Lepisosteus oculatus: one gene and its partners. The protein of the gene in region 1 purifies or fractionates together with the protein of each later gene. This does not show direct contact. Links are inferred from orthologs where the notes say so. Each region holds a gene or a part of one and is shown on either strand. Other genes may lie near its edges. The genes, in order: ptpn5, mapk1 and mitogen-activated protein kinase 14A.

Region 1 (5,448 bases):
CAGTGGGTTGGAGTGGCAGTCAGTGTTGAGTGTAATTGATATTTGAAATAGGGCTGTCTATATAGATTGATTTTAAGTATTGAATGAGTGTAAAATTTGGGATGAAATTCTATGTTAAAGGAAGGTGACACAAGCGTACTGAGGAGGAGATATTGAATAAGACTTAAATTAAAGATAATATTTAGGATTAGTGATGGAGGATCAGTGTTTCTGAACAGGGTAACCCTGTACATTGGTCCGAGTAGCAGGGAATATGTTTTATAATTATTTACAGACAGAGGTAAAACTCTGAAATGGATTTAAAAAGTTTTTATTTAAAATGTCTACTACAGACGGAGTGGATCAGGACAGATCAGGACCCCAAGGAAGAATGATGACATAAAGGAAAAGTTAGCGAAACACAATACAGAAATGTTAGAAAATTCATGAGGCCAGAGGGATGCAAATTCTTTTCTACTGTAAGACTTGAAATGTGGGCAGTGTGGCGCCAGGGGCGTGATGGAGATCCAAGTCGCAGAAAGCAGTCATTAAAGAAAAGTGATGCATGCCATCGCTTCAGAGACAGGATCTCAGTCTTCAGTTCACCATCAGTAGAAGTCTGGGTTAACACAGTGCTGCTGAGGTTTTACAGAAGAGTCAAGGTCAAGAAGATAAGTGACAGAGATGCAAGCAGCTTTGTTTCAGTGACTGAGTAGGTATAAAAGTGCTTGCATTGAATAAAAGCCAAAGAAAGCGAGGAGAATCATGTTAGCACAGACATGGCTTGTGGCAAGGATGTGAGAAAGGTTAAGATCTGAACACCCTAGAGCTCCAGAGGAGGAGAATAATTTCTGTGGTAAAGAATGTGCTGAAGGGAACTCAGACATCTTAAAAATTCTAGACAGAAAGAGCTCTAGCTAAATGAGGGATGAGCCAACAGAGGACTGAGCTGGTGCAGCACTTGAAATTGAGTTGGGCTGTGAAATCATACCTGTCTTGCCAACACACCCCATGAAGTGCTTGTTGTTTAGGACTGATAGGCATAAATACAAAGGCATTAGTGATGATGGCTAACATGTGTTATGTGTTTTGTTCTATTGCTTTGATCAGGTAAAGAGATTTCAATGATTGTGTAGCACAGAGGAAAGGTGGATTAAAGGTAATAGCCCTACTAATGGCAGCAGCAGGGAATTTATGAAGCAGAGAATGGTGGTGTTTATGAAGTTGAGATGGTGAGGTGCATTCAACCACAATGCATGTGGTTTGTATAGTAAGAGAGCTAATTCTGACGTGAGCAAAGGGCATAATGGAAAAATGGGGAAAATGTGCCATCAGTGGTCGGACTGACTCCTGTGAACTGTGGGGAAAAGGTGCGTGATAAGGCAGAGATCTGCATGGAAGAAGGCATTCAGCGAGTTGGGGAAGAAGGTTTGAGTCCGTTGACTCATTGAACAGGTCAGACTGGCTAGGCTTGCATGGAAAAAGATGAACTTGGAGAAGACACTCAACACTGATGGCTGTTGGGAAAGTTGTGAGGGGACTGCCGCCGTTGGGCAGGGATGGATGGATATCGGCATGGTGGGACTCACCCCTAGGACATCTGGGAGAAAACACTGCTTTTGGATTTGGTTCTCCAGCTGGAGCCTGAAGCACTGCAGTTTGGATTCTTTCAAACAGGAGGAAGAGAGCAGCATGGTAAGGCCTGACTGACGAGAGCAAATGGCTAATGCGAAAATGAAACATGTGAGTGAACATGCGAGAAGCATGGTGATTATACATAGACGGGCAGATGTGATGAGACTAGACTTTGACCTCCTCCTGAGCTTTTTTTACAACCCCATTAAAGGAAAAATGGGGAACAACTGAATAAATATGTGTGGAATTGTACCCCATGAAAGGACTGCAAAGACTAAGGGACTTTAGTCAAATGGCCTCAAGCATTAAAATTCTCACTAGTGTATATAGTTGTTTCTGCATGGATTGAGGGGATTTCCACAAGCTGAATTTACATAGGGAAGTGTGACACTAGGCCACTGAGGGGGTGGCTGGAGAGAAGGATTTGGCTAGACTTATTCCGTTTATGGAGCAAGGTGCGAATAAAGGCTGCTTTAGACACACCCGAAGAAGGCTCCACAGCTGAAAAGTTGTGTTTTCTTTCTTCTCTTGTCAGCACGGAATAAACCTATTACTTGCTCCTTTGCAGCCTAAGCATGCTGACGCAGCTCCCCACCTGAACTTCTAAAGTCTGGTTTATATCTGTGCTGCAGTGGAGTTTTTGGGTGTGATTGTGATTGCTTTCCCGCTCGTGCAGAACAAAATGAAGCTTTGTGCCAAGTAGAACTTAGAGCGCCATGTTCAGATCCTACCGCTATTTGGGAGAAGACACAAACGCAGACGGTGCAGCCAGCGGTCACCACGGCCCTCCATAGCTTCTCCCACCACGGGCCCTGGGGGTCCTGTGGGGAGCTGTGGGGGGGCTGAGCCACTCTACCCCGCTCCTCCTGTTGTGCGTCAGCTTGGGCAGGTGGGCCTGTCATTGAGTTCTGGGTCATGATCCCTGACAACCGAAGACCTGGAGGCAAAAACAGGAGAGATCATCTCTCTGGATGCACAGTCTGAGACATAGAGTCCCTCCAGCACAGTGTGCTGTATAGTACAGAGTATACAGTGGTATAGTGGAGTACATGTGTTTGCCTGTTGATCCCACTAACTCTTTCAGAATCTCGATCAGTGCTGACTGTCAAGACATTCCTTACCTATTGCCCATTAATCGAAAAATAGACGCTACAGAAGTGCCCATGTCTGAAGGAAAAAAAATGAATGTGGAAGACTTTTTTTATTTTTTTTGTTTATTTTAGGATTCAAGTGTAGCCTAAGAAAAACATGGGTTTATTTAAAAAATGCCCCAAATGGCAATTTTGGAATTTAAATCGACCCTGTCCGTCAATGGGGTGTCAACAGATTTTTCTCTCTAATAAAACATGCATTTTCATACCTGCTTTTCATAGTTATGAAGAGATTTGTGCTACAACAGAGGTGCATAGTCAAATGGAAGATGCCATCCTCATAGCATGTCCTTCCATAACATACTGTACTGTAGGTCAATGTGTCTGTATTCTTAAGAGTTTTTACACATTTTATCTTCATCACGGAATCGCGGTAAATAAGGTTAATATCTTAACCAAGCAACAGTGTTCTTAATTTGACAGATTCAGGACTGTGTTAGGGTAAACACAAGGGGTGCTGGGTGATTTTCAAAACCTATAAATAGGTTTAGAAATGGGAATATTTCATATTTAAAGTAATGATACTTTTATTTTCAACGTATGAATTTTCACATTATGAACACTTTCCAAGGAACAAATTACATTCATAAAATGAAGCTTGAGTGTACTTGACATTGCTGAAAAGCTGTGTTAAAATTCATCTGTGATAAAAATCCATCTTTTTGTCCTTGTGTTCATGAACTTACGTTCATAAACTTCAGGATGTTTTCCTGACCTGGGTTGCTATCTGCATGGAGTGAGCAGGTTCTCCCTGTGTTCATGGGAGTTTCCTCCGGGTGTTCTAGTTTCCTCCCACAGTCCACATGATGGCACTTCTAGGAAACCGGCCCCGGTTTGCATGTTTGTGTTGATGTCTGCGTTTCTGTTTGCCCTGTGATGGAGTGGTGTACCCTGCCTTGCGTCCATTGCTTGCCTGGTTAGACTCCGGCTCCTCTACAACCCCGATGAAGCCATTAGAAAAAGGATGAATGAAAGTGTATACAAAGGCTGGCAAAGTACAGGAGAAGAGTTTCTTTCCTCAAACTGTAAACTTCTTTTGTGAATGCTTCAACATGCAGTAAGTTTCACTGTGCCACCAGGACAGGTCTAGGACAGGTGTCACTCGGTTTACATTTCTCTTCTTGAAACTTGCCTCCTCCCCTCTGTGGTGTCAACGGGCTTCCTGTTGGAGCTGCAGTTCATGGCACCAGTGTCAGACGTCTCCCAGTGAGCTAATGTCTGCCCACCTTCTCACCACTCCGAGCCTAGTGTGGGTGGATTCTCATTACTCGCCTGTCTCTGAAAGCCATTCTCAGTGCTCAATGCATCTCTTTTTATCATGATACTGTCATTCTTAATATTTTATAGGTTGGTGTCAAAGGTTAAAAAAAACAAAACAGTAGGAAATCATTGACCATCATTGATGGTTAAAGCACATAGGTAATTTGTTTTTGAAGTAAGTTCAGGATAAAAAACATAATTATGATTAAAACTCATGTTTAAAAAAGTAAAGTCCAGACCAGAACCACATCAACTCATTGAGAGAGCTTATCCTGGTTTCTGTAGTGTTAAGCGAACTTCCTTTTCCATATAGACACTTCACTACACCCACATAGTGTAGGAATATAATAAAACTCAATTTCATTGGATAAAGATGACAAAAGGTCAAATAGGCATCAGCATGCTTATGTAGACCCAGATACACTTCTGTTTTTACAGCCAGCCAGTAAAAGGCTGCTTCTCCTGCTCCTCTTGTCAAACGATGCATGAGTCTGGTGTGAACTGCTGTTTGAAGTCTGAGGCACTAGTGAAAATTCAGTGATTGTGCACAACCCAGTCAGCTGAAGGGGATACTAGCAATATTAGGATTTTGATATATTTAAGGCCATAAATCATCTGTGAGTGCTGAGCGAAAAAAAGAGGACCAAACTTCATTGAGTACTTCAGAACAGGTTTTGGGACTTCGGACCTGTACATAATGGGCTGAGTGGGATTCTGTTTGAACATATTTCATTCTGATTGCTCCAGTAAACGCACTACCTACCTTGTTTTTTAGATCAGATTAGTCTCAAATGACTAACCTGATTTAAACAAAATACATACCAGACAACATATTCACTAGATTAACTGAATTAAAACGCACTAGGTTTAAAATTCACTAAATTAACATAATTAAAATGCACTAGGCACTAGACTAGTACTGTAGCGCCCTCATCAGGCAGTGATGTGGCACCAAGCAGACAAGCAACGGGGCTGGTGATGTCAGCCCCAGGAGAGCATGCTGGGATAAATGCGTACTTGTCTGGGATAGTGGGGAATCACCAGGGGCATTGTTAACTCCCAGGGCTCGGGGGAATGGCATGTTATGTGAGTATACTTGTGTGGTTCTCCCATGTTTCCCCATCCTAGTCTGTGGTCTCAGGTTCCCACTATGACCTGTCCAGCCTCTGCTAGTCAGCACCCCCAGCATCATGGTAGTATAGTGGCGTATTTCTTATGCTCTTCCCATTCTTATGTGCATTTATTGCCCATGTCAGAGTATTCAACCCAGTTAACTCATGTCATCCAGGTCTTCACAGTAAATTACAGATACCCTGGCTTACTGTATGATTGGGTAAGAGCAGCTGGCTGACCTGCAAACAATCACACAGCCCATACAGTATGTCCAGAACCTGTGCCACCCTTTAGTACAGCCTAAACCATT
Region 2 (5,448 bases), on another chromosome or scaffold:
CCAGGCGCCGGCTGGCCGACGAAGGCCCGCGCGACTGTTGGGCGAGACCGGCCTCTACAGCCCAGGCAGAAGGACGGACCCCTTCTGCGCCTGACTGGCAACTGGCTGCCCCTTGTCTTTCCCTTCGCTCGTTTGTTTTACAGTCTCCTCACCGACTACAGGGCCCCTGCAAGGCCTCACCAAGAACATAGAATCGCCGTGTGGCGCCTCCACGCTTCAGATCAATCATTTCGCGATTTTCATACTCCTATCCAAGATGCTCCCAGATTGCATCTCTGCAGAGCATCAACGAGAAACGTTCCCCAGCATCCACAGCAATGAAGGACCTGCGTACTTCCTGCGAGCACATTTCACAGAACCTCCATCACTTCAAGATTACTCATTTGACAACCCCCCACACTGTATATCCCTTTGTTTTTGTTGCAGTGAAGCATGCATTCTATCAACACCCTCAGCTTCCTGCTCAGATAACACATGCACTGCGCCTGCCAGTGCTCTCTTAGCTAGTTGGATCTCTCATTTTCTTCCGCTTGGATGCAAAGTAAGGTCTAACGAAAAGAGATCTGGCAAAGCAGGCTGCGAGACCGCACAGGTCATGGGCATTTGCACACAGAAGGCAGACAAAACCTCTGGAGTCTCTTTACGTCCTAAGATGCAATTATCTTCATCAAAAGGAGGGAGGTATCAGTTCAGGCAGTCGATATCTCATTTGCTTTTAACGCTGAGCCTCCTCATAAATGCCACCAAAGATGGACGCTCTCAGCAACTTAGATGTACAGCAGGCAGCTGGTAAATAAAACCCACTGGACGACAGAAAGGTTCAAACAAGGCTGTGTATAATAGGATCATTGCTTAATTTCCTGTCTCTACATCTGATAAATCCTGGTTTCTTTAACCACTGAGCAGCACCCTGCACACCAGCGGTTTCTAACGCATCACTCAGAAGAGTTAAGGAGCGAAGATAAAATTGATATTACGCACCTGAAAGGACAAAAAGTGAAAATCTCATTTCAAGGCAGAACTGGTCATCTAAGTCCCGAATTTTTTTTAATTTTAAAATTTTGAGGCTCTTGCATCTTATTGGGGACTCTACTGTGCTGCACAGAATATGCATACGCACTGCATCAGGAAAAGGAATCTGAACTTCGGGAACACCTGTGACGGCCGGACTAATGAAGAGGCCAGAGCATTCTCACACAACGCCACACCTGTGGCACGATGCACGAACTCCACAAACCGCACCCTTCCCCTTTCACAAAGCAAAACCGCTGACACATTCTCCTACCCTTCTATTCACTAGGAACCGATTGCAACACAGCTGCGAAGGACCAAAACATTATTACCTGACGGGTCTGCTTTGATTCATTCAGTTTGTGGGGGTATAAATCGCGCTCCTGTCTGCTGAACTAGGTAGGCCCGTCCCTCTTCCTATAAATATCGCTAGGCGTGGCTTAACTGCGTGGTACAGAGTGATATCGCTTGTGGCGATCTGCACTCACTCCGGGAAAAGGGACTTGTTTCAAAGGCGTTCTCGATAAACCCAGCCCCTTCTTCCAAATCACTAGGGTGAACAGTTTTTGTAAAAAATAAAAACAAAAACAAAATTCGCCCGGAACCGGCATCGCTGTGACCCCGGCGGCCGTCTCGACTCCGGCACAGGAAGCCGAGCTGCGCCGAGACCCCTCTGGGTTCGGGTGGGCAGCCGGGGGCACCGGCGCGCACACGCACACGCCCCGCGGACACGGGCGGACATTCCGCCGCGCTCCGCGCGAGAGCTCCCCGCAGCTCGTGACGCCGGGCCGCCAATCAGCACCTTCCCATTCCCATGAATTGCCGCTCGCGCTGGAGATCGCCTTACCTGCAACTCGGAAAATGCAACAAGCGATCTCTCCGAGGGGGGGTGGGATTCAACTCTTAGATGCCCCAACGAGGGGATGCCGCCAAGTGTGACACCCTATACCCCACAGCGACGCAGCAAACGACGAGCCTCGCCCTCCTCCAAGGGGGAAAGAGGCAGCGATTTATGCGCTATCAACTGAACACACTGATTGATAAGGCGGGACACGGGGAGATGCTCGTTCCCAGAAACGGCGCACATCTGGATAAAACTACCCCCCCCCCCCCCCCCCCGACTGGATCGCCCACTGCCCGGCTGTCAAAACTTGGGGTGTGCTTTCCATAGGTATTGGGCTTCAAGCCGCTAACGGATATCAATAATGCGCGTTTACCGGGAAACGCGACGTCGTCAAGTAACATTTCAGCATTTGTTGTTTAATAAAGATGTTGTTGTTTAATAAACAACACGGCGGACACAAGCAGCAATGATATAGCACCCGAGAGTTCGAGCCGGCTCCAAGCACAGGCGGCTCCGAGTTGTAATCCGCTAGCTACACCCCTTACGGCAAAGGGTGTTGCCCTTCTCTGCATTGAAAAGTGAAAATCAATGACACATCGGAACAAAAAAAAACCCAACATTCCCAATCCGGCTCTCGCAGACCTCTCTCTCTCTCACTCTCGGGGTCCGTCAGCCTCACGGCTCCATCAACAAGTACGACGGCGGCGAGTCCCGACACCGAGCGAGCTTCCCCGACAGCGCGGACGGAGAAAAACCGTAAAAAAAAAAACTTTGCATGCATGTGTAGCACGAACTGAGTTTCCCCCCTCTCCTCCGCCGGCAGGTCTGGAGCCTCTCTCGCCCGGCCGTGCACACAGCACCCAGCGCCGAGAGACTCAAGACACCGCGGCCGTGGCGTCCAGCCCCCCCGGCCCCCGAACACAACTTACCACACCATGCCGTAGGCCCCCTCGCCGATATAGGACAGGTTGCTGTAGCGGGGACCCACATCGAAGGCCTGTCCACGGACCAGCTCGGCTCCCGATCCGGTGTTGGGGGCGCCGCCTGCAGCACCAGATACCGCGGCTGTCGCCATTGTTAACTAGCTGCCCACACACACACGCAGAAGGATGGGTGGGAGAAGAGGAAAAAAAACAGAAAATCTGGGAAGAAAAAGTCCTAGCTACGAGGAAGGGGAAGGGGCCGGAAAAAAAAAACCTGAACAAACGAGCTTTCAGTCCCAGGAGCCGAAGAAACCGTACGGCCTGTTGATCGCCTGTCAGGATGGTGAGAGGGAGGGGGAGACGAGCCGTGGATTACTTTGCTACAGTCTAGCAACCTTGTAGACTCGCCCGCAGACTGCGGCAGGCAGGCAGCTCCACTGCAGGAAATAACGGGCTGGTCATGTGACCGGGGAGCGCAGGGGCGAGAGCGAGGACTCGGTCACGTGAGGGGGGTGCGCTTGCGCCGCGGGGACGGGGGAGCCTGTCACGCCGGCTGGGGGTCTCTGGTCTTCTCGGACAGACAGCAAGGGACTGCTCGGCTCTGGAGCAACCAGGAGCTGAATCAATTATTGTTTTTTTTTTGCAACTGGACAGGAGCCGATTCTAATTGATGGCCCAATCCAGAGTTCAAGATTTAATTCATGGAAGAGCAGAGTTGCTGTACAAAAGTGCATTTAAACTGTCCCGGAGTCTCTTTGACAACTATGTTTTTGTATCGCTTTTATTTTCTGTTTCCCTGAAATCATATTGCATATGAGAATTCCGTTCGTATATCCGAATTAATGATTTCTGTTAGAATTGTTTTCATTTGGAGATGGACTGCACGAACACTGCATTTTGTAGTTATCTTTACGCGTACAGCGGGTGATGGTTTTCGCCAGTGAGAAACGATAATACAGCGTAAAAAAAAAAGAAGATGTGATTCAATCTGATAACGCCACTTTTTAATCTGTCAGATCTGGGCAGGGCGGAGTCAAGCCGCCGATGATACACAGTGAGATCAACCGCAAGACCTGCGGGAGCGGTCAATGATATCTAAAAAAAAAGGCCAAGAAAATCCTGTCGTTTGGCACCGATGGAAATGCAACAGAGCCCACTGCAGAGATTTCCCCCAGTTCGTCATCCCCCCAGAGTGACACAAGAGGATCTGCTTTGCCCGAAGTCGCAGGAAACGTGACTCAGAGAAAATGATTACACGGCCCTTTCGGAGCCTGTAAACACGAGCTGGTTCCTACACACCGCCGCCACCCGCCTGTCGGACGGAGAGATCTGCAAAAAAGACATCAGAAGGCATAAAAAAAATCGGGGAGCGTTTCCTCTGTCGTTCTCGGTTTTGTCTGGAATGGCCAGTTCAGCCCTGTAGCAGTTGGTTGCTAGTAAGAATCTAACTTAGAGAAGGAAACCAGTAGAGAATTTAGTATGTTTCGTGTTTTATCATGCCTGGGATTTACCTCGTTATTTAAAATGAAAAGCGTTACTAAAGTATATAATTTAACTATTACTTGCGCCGTGGCAGTGAAACTATAAGCGCATTTGTGCCAAAGAAGTTCACTTTGAAAAGTGGCTCCTTGAAGCCGTTTGATTTGTCTTTTCTTATAGAGGGGAGACTCCTGGGAAAGCTGAGGCTGGAAGAGGTGTTAGTGGGAGCAGTAGGGGGCGCTCACCCTGCGGTCTGTGTGTGTCCTAATGCCCCAGTACAGTGACGGGGACAATCTACTGAAAAAAGCCACCGTCCTTAAGATGAGACATAAAACCCAGGTCCCAACTCTCTGTGGTCATTAAATATCCCAGGGTGTTTCTCGAAAAGAGTAGGGGTGTTACCCTTGTGTCCTGGCCAAATTTCCCCCTGGCCTTTACCCATCATGGCCTCTTAATAATCCCCATCTCTGAACTGGCTCCATCACTCTGCTCTCCTCCCAATTTAGCTCCTGTGTGTGGGGAGTGTACTGGTGCACTCTGGCTGCTGTCGCATCATCCGGGTGGGGCTGCACACTGGTGGTGGAGTTACCTGTAAAGTGCTTTAAGTGGAGTTTCTTAAAACTGATGAGGATGCGCGGATACTCACGGATATTCGGAGTAGGCGATTACTGCTGTCTCATTTACTGCCACCTTGTGGTTTAACTTCGTAATAACATCTCAATGACCCCGTCAAAAGGTTACGTGTGTGAAAGACGCAAAACGACCTCTTGAACCGAAGTCGTTTCACCAGAAGACCTGAGCTAAACAATCAAGATGACCAATTATGGATAATTATTACCGTAACTTTCTTCCACTCGTGTAACGTTATTTAAGACACTGTCTGAAGCTGAAATATTCTTACCTTTTAGTCACGATCAGTGACTAATGTCGTGCCTCACCAAATGAAATATCTTTGAAAGTATTGAATAGGCTACAGTATTCTCAGAAATCTGGCTTAAGCATGTGCCTTTTATGCCTCAGGTTGGGGGTTCGAACCCAGCTGTCAAACTGAGATTTCTTTAGGCGTGGAGTGGTGGCTTTGTGGTGAAGGATCTGTGCTTGTAGCTGTGCTTGCTGGCTCAAATCCTATGGCTGGCAGAGAAATCCCACTGTGTTGGGTGCCCGAGCAAGGCCCTTAACCCCAACTGCTCC
Region 3 (5,448 bases), on another chromosome or scaffold:
GCTTTCAAATTGCGGCAGACTTGCAATTTCGCTGTGCCGAACCACCCCTGAGTAATATTTAATAACACGCTCAAAATACGAAGCCAAAACATCATTTTTTTCTTCCATCAGTACATTTCAAGGCATGTTCGGAATGTCCCCCGGACCTCCGGTGAATCTGTAACTGGCGGGCGTGCTTCTGTCTCTCACAAAGCTGGGCGAAGTTGCGCCCCGAACGGCTTCACTGAAGTCTTCAGGTGAACCGAAGTCGTCGTCTTTTTTAATTTCCCAGGTTGTCCATTTCCTTCCTTTCCGTTGTGGGACGCACACATCCTTTGTGCGTCGGGAGGAATGTTTTTTTGAACAAATAAATTAACACGATCTTATCCCACGGGCTGTGCGTGTAACGATCATCCCATAGGAAACATCTGTGAAGTCTGAAGAATGAGAAAGGAATTTTCGACCTCCTCCCAATATTAACTGGAATCATTACTGTATTATTATTACTATTTTATTATGGGCCAGTGCTTATTAGTTCACACCCTTTCCATGGGTATTTACACTGTTCAAAATGTTTAACATTGATTGTAGTTACAAATGGAAACTTTGGAATTAAAATTAAATACAACTGACAGTTAAATTACATTCATGGCCAGCAGGATGACACCGATGAAGAAGGAATAATAATTCCTTACACTTATATAGCACTCTTCTGCAAACTCAATTTAAAGCTCTTCGATGTAATGGGGACTCCCCTTCACCACCACCAATGTGTAGCCCCACCTGGATGATGCAACGGCAGTCAAAGTGCACCAGTACACTCACCACACATCAGCTATCAGCAAGAAAGCAATTCATAGATGGGTATTATTAGGAGTCCATGATTGGTAAAGGCGAGGGGGGACTTTGGCCAGGACACTGGGGTAACACCCCTACTCTTTTCAAGAAACACCCTGGGATTTTTACTTACCACAAAGAGACGAGACCCTGGTTTTATGTCTCATATAGGACGGTGAAGGACAGCACCTATATTACAGTAGTGTCCCAATCACTATACTGGGGCATTAGGACCCACTGAGACCACAGGGTGGGCGCCCCCTACTGGTCCCATTAGCACCAGTTCCAGCAGCAACCTTAGTTTTCCCAGGAGATCCCCCATCCAGGTACTGACCATGCTCACACCTGCATACCGTCACTGGTTTACCAGTTGGGGCTTGCAGGGTGATATGGCTGCTGGGAAAGAGTGAACCAAGATCTCAAGTGAGTATTTTAGCAGCCCACTGAAAAGACACATGAAGTGTTGCAGTCTGTCCTCCATCCAACTCAAGCTTAACTGCGAGCTTTGGTGTTTCTTGAGCCTTTTTGAACTTGCAACCCCCTTCACAGTTTAAAACTGACGTCAGGGAATGAGCCCCAGCTTCAATCCCCGGTGGCTGTAAACATGTAATTTAAATCGTTCTCCGTGTTTTCCTAAAAATGTTAAGAATAATTCTGCTCTAGACAGACTAACGGAAAACAAAGGGGGTAACACTGCAATTTTCCTTTCTTAGTAATCGTTCTGGAACACACTTTTTATAGATCTGGAAAACAAGCAAATGTGGACTCCCGGCTTCGGTTTCTCCACTACTTTAAATCAATGCTGTGCAATACGATGAGTCAAAAGTAAATTCGTATGGATTAATTTTCCACAAGCACGGGGAAATCTGAAGGTATTTTAGTTTTTGTACTCGCGTTCTGTTTTCCTATAGTAATGACAATAGGACAAAACTACATGCTTTGACCTCGCAGAAAATGTAGTCGAGCAGAGAGAGGCTGGCAACTCGATCTTTCTGGAAGGTATTCGTGTCGGAAACTTGGCTGTACCTAAAAAAGAATTGGAAGCTTAAAACAAGCACCGAAAACAAAAGCGAATAACTACATCAGCATCGTTGTTTTTTTTCTGTGTAGCGGGGAAATTCCGGGATTAAGTACGTTTTTCGCTTTTTTTTTTGTTTGTTTCAAAGCGTGAAGCCCTCATCTTGAGCACCCCTACGCCGGCTCGGCCTCCTCGCGCGAGACGCGAGACTTGCGTGTCTGGGCCGAGCTGTGGGTAGTGACGGGAGCGCGCCACTGCAGGAGGAGACTGAGAGAAAGCCCACGGCGGACGGGTCTTTACTCCACTCAAACTTGAGGACTGAAGGGGGAAAAAAAAAAGAGAAAGTGTAGAGGGCAAATCGTTTCAACATTGCAGCGGGCTCAAATTTGCATTTGCAACCAGAGTTTTGTTTGCTTGTCCTTTATATTCGAGCTCAACCCGGTGCGCTCCTTTAATTCCTGGGTTGACGTTGTTTTTTTTTTTAGATTTTTACTTCAACTTACATCTTTTGATTTAAGTGGGGGAAGGAGAAGTTAACTTGATTGACTGCGTGGTGCAGCGGGACTGGCTGTTCTGCAGGAATGTCGCAGAAAGAAAGACCCACTTTCTACCGACAGGAGCTGAACAAGACGATATGGGAGGTCCCGGAACGGTACCAAAGTCTTAGCCCAGTCGGCTCTGGGGCTTACGGATCAGTGTGGTAAATTACTTACTTTTATCACTTCGTGTTATTATTGCGTTTTAATGTGTTTCAAGCGTAGTGTATTTGCACAACTCATTGCGTTATGTTTGGCATCGCTTATTGCAGGCCTGATGGTACATTCTTGCTCAATCAAAGCAACGAATCACAGGCAGGCAGGCAGGCCCTTCTCTGCATGGAGAGATCGTGGTTTCGCGAGTTACGCAAAATAGGTTCAGGACCCTGACCCAGTGAAAGATTTCTGCACTTTTTTTTTTCGCAGCCCGTTGTTTCTGGGGGCTCGGTGTGCAACTGTGTTGCTCCCCATCCCTTTGAATGGCGTGTGTTATTTACACGAGATCCGTGAATCGCACGTCTCACTTTTTATTTTAACCTGCGCCTGGTCAGAGTTTTCTCATAACCCGTTGTGAATTTCCTGTGCTCTCCTTCAAATCCCCAGTTTCGTTAAACTTTTTGTTTAAAAAAATGCAGTTTCCGGGAAGCACTGACGCGCCTTTTGCAGTTCTGCCAAATCTTAAGTGTTTTGCATAGGGTTTCTCAATTGTAACTCCCTAGTGGTTGAATGGGGCTTGTCTGGAGTATTTTCTTTTGACTAGATTGTATCTGTGTCGGATCGTTTTTATTTTTATTTTGTTGCGCAGGACAGAAGTAGCCCTTTGTATGTCGTGGTGCAATTGCAGAACGTTGAGTTGAGCACGATTGCTTTCTGGAGACTTTTTGTTGAAGCCCCGTCATTTATTGTTGCAGTTGCAGTCCCTAGTTAATCTTTCAGTACAGAACGATTTGCACCCGTCTACTGACCCGAAGAGACGCTTTATCATGGACAAACAAAACCAACCACCCGGGAGTGATAAGCTGTGTCGTGTTGGGGGCTGAAATGTGACTCGCACATGACCCCCAGCGACAGGCCGCTTTCTGTTGCCAGATATTTTCATATCTTTCCCAGGGCTGGGTAACGGAAAGCATCAGCTCAGCTGGAAAAGTAACGCGACGGGGTTTCTTCTCATTCACTTGAGAATGACTGTTGTTTACAGATAGCAGTATTAGCATTGCGATTCTGTCAAGAACAGGATGCGCCTCTCACTGAAGTGCACAAATGTAGTTTCATGTTTTTACGCAACATATTAGGAGTAATCGGTTTATAATGTAGAGGGGGCTTCAAGGCAGTGTTGTTATAAAAAAACATCGTGACACTGCGCATCGTTGGTTCTGTTCAGTGCCTTTTCTAATACTTTCAAGTAGACATGACGGTTTCATCATCTTTCTTGGCAAAGGAACACGATCAACTTCTTTTTTTTTTTACTGCGTCGAAACTCATTTCCTAAGTCTGGGTTAACGTCGCTCTCCGGGAATGAAACGTCAAGTTCGCGAATTCCTCAACCGCACCGCCCATGTTTTGAATTATACTGTGAGGTTTACCTCGGCCATTGCATAAGACATATTGACCGTGTACACATGACCAAAACCTCGACATAGCCTTTGACTTGTATATTATGACTCGGCGTGCGCGTACAGTTCAGAGCCTGACAGATGCCTGAGGAATTTTCAAGCGTTTGTCCCTCTCCATTCTTCAGTGTTTCCTCTCCTGAGCCTCCATGTGCTTTTATTTTCTGTAGCCTGATCGTATTGTATGCAGCAGTCGTCGGTTGAGGTAAGACTGCATAATGAAGTCGCCTCGGAATTGCCTGCTGGTATGAGTCACCGGCTGGAGGATTAGTTGGAACCATCCGGCTGACTGCTCGGCGCGTCACGTACAGCGCAAGACCTCGTCTCCTTTCCGAAATGAATTGCAGATGTCGCGCCAGTTAGTTTGCCGTGGAGTGATGGAAAGCATCGTTTTATCTTTGGTTTCCCCGGGAAAGGGATCTGCCAGCTGAGGCGCGCATACCTCCTTGCTTGTGTGTGAGAAGGGGCACCTCGAATTCTTTCTCTCTCCTGCTGTTCCCAGCCTTCACTGAGAGGACGGTGTGCTGTGGGTCCCGCTGCAATGACATGCAAAGTGTGCCTTGACGCAAGTGAGAGAATAGGAGTGCACGCATTCCTCGTGGTAGTGTTAGCAGCTGTGTGGCAGCCTGAGGAGACCGAGCAGGATTTATGTTTGTGAAGCTTGTGGGAATGTGGCGGTGTGGAACAAGCTACCCAGCCACGTGGGTGAAGCCGATACTCTGGCTTCTTTCAAGAAACTGCTGGATGAGATTCTTAGTGCAGTTAGCCAAGCACCACCATATGGGCCAGAGGACCCGACTGGCCTATTTCTCACTTGTGTCCTTTCTGCTGTTCACATGACTTAGCTGTCCCTTTTCTGTAGCAGAATAAAACCAGCAGCATTCCTGTTGGTGGTCTTCGCTTCCATTCGTCTCCGTTTTCTCAAAGGCTGTCTTGCGTCAGCAGAGAGCCTTGTTCCGATCCTGGGCTCTGTCAAAGTGGACGCAGTCCTAAACTGCTGCAGTGAAGACCTTATCTCAGCTAGTGACTAAAAGTGTATCTTCTGTCGCTTGAACTCTGCCCTGTTTTAAGCAATGCTGAAGAAGGGACATGGCCAATATCTGCACAGAAACTGGTAAGGCTCCTGTTGCATAGTAGTTTGAGCTGCTGCAGGTTTTCCTAGCAAGGAAGCTCGTGCTTCAGTGCTGATGGATGCGAGGGCTATATTGTGTGGAACCGTGGGAGTTTTCTAGCCCGTGCCAGGCACTGTGTGTGGAAGCAACGCAGCGGAGAACCCCAGCTGGTGCCACCAGAGAGCTCACAGCAGGTGCTATCGTTGAGGTTTTTTTAGCCTCAGCCCTTCGCACAAGGTTAAGCAGAGCTGGGCTTGTTCGAGGAAAGTCTCAAAGCACTGTGGGAGAATCTGTGCTTGGGGTCAGGAGAACCCCTAGAGGAGCAGTCTTTGATTCATGTGATTTGCAAGAAATCC

The links.
Region 2: the proteins of ptpn5 (region 1) and mapk1 purify together in Homo sapiens (affinity purification with mass spectrometry; 4 studies listed by BioGRID and IntAct, with this or other methods). This does not show direct contact. The link is inferred for Lepisosteus oculatus from reciprocal best matches to the Homo sapiens genes PTPN5 and MAPK1.
Region 3: the proteins of ptpn5 (region 1) and mitogen-activated protein kinase 14A purify together in Homo sapiens (affinity purification with mass spectrometry; 3 studies listed by BioGRID and IntAct, with this or other methods). This does not show direct contact. The link is inferred for Lepisosteus oculatus from reciprocal best matches to the Homo sapiens genes PTPN5 and MAPK14.

Annotation. Positions count from the first base shown.
Region 1 is NC_090716.1:13,384,494-13,389,941, reverse strand, and holds the start of ptpn5 (tyrosine-protein phosphatase non-receptor type 5), read right to left. Parts: upstream 3,839-5,448; 5' UTR 3,527-3,838; coding exon 3,481-3,526; intron 2,552-3,480; coding exon 2,346-2,551; intron 1,646-2,345; exon of another isoform or gene 1,569-1,645; intron 1-1,568. UniProt on the Homo sapiens protein: May regulate the activity of several effector molecules involved in synaptic plasticity and neuronal cell survival, including MAPKs, Src family kinases and NMDA receptors.
Region 2 is NC_090717.1:1,962,538-1,967,985, forward strand, and holds the start of mapk1 (mitogen-activated protein kinase 1), read right to left. Parts: upstream 3,234-5,448; 5' UTR 2,931-3,233; coding exon 2,785-2,930; intron 1,654-2,784; exon of another isoform or gene 1,367-1,653; coding exon of another isoform or gene 1,344-1,366; intron 1-1,343. UniProt on the Homo sapiens protein: Serine/threonine kinase which acts as an essential component of the MAP kinase signal transduction pathway. MAPK1/ERK2 and MAPK3/ERK1 are the 2 MAPKs which play an important role in the MAPK/ERK cascade.
Region 3 is NC_090700.1:36,016,706-36,022,153, reverse strand, and holds the start of mitogen-activated protein kinase 14A, read left to right. Parts: upstream 1-1,832; 5' UTR 1,833-2,415; coding exon 2,416-2,534; intron 2,535-5,448. UniProt on the Homo sapiens protein: Serine/threonine kinase which acts as an essential component of the MAP kinase signal transduction pathway.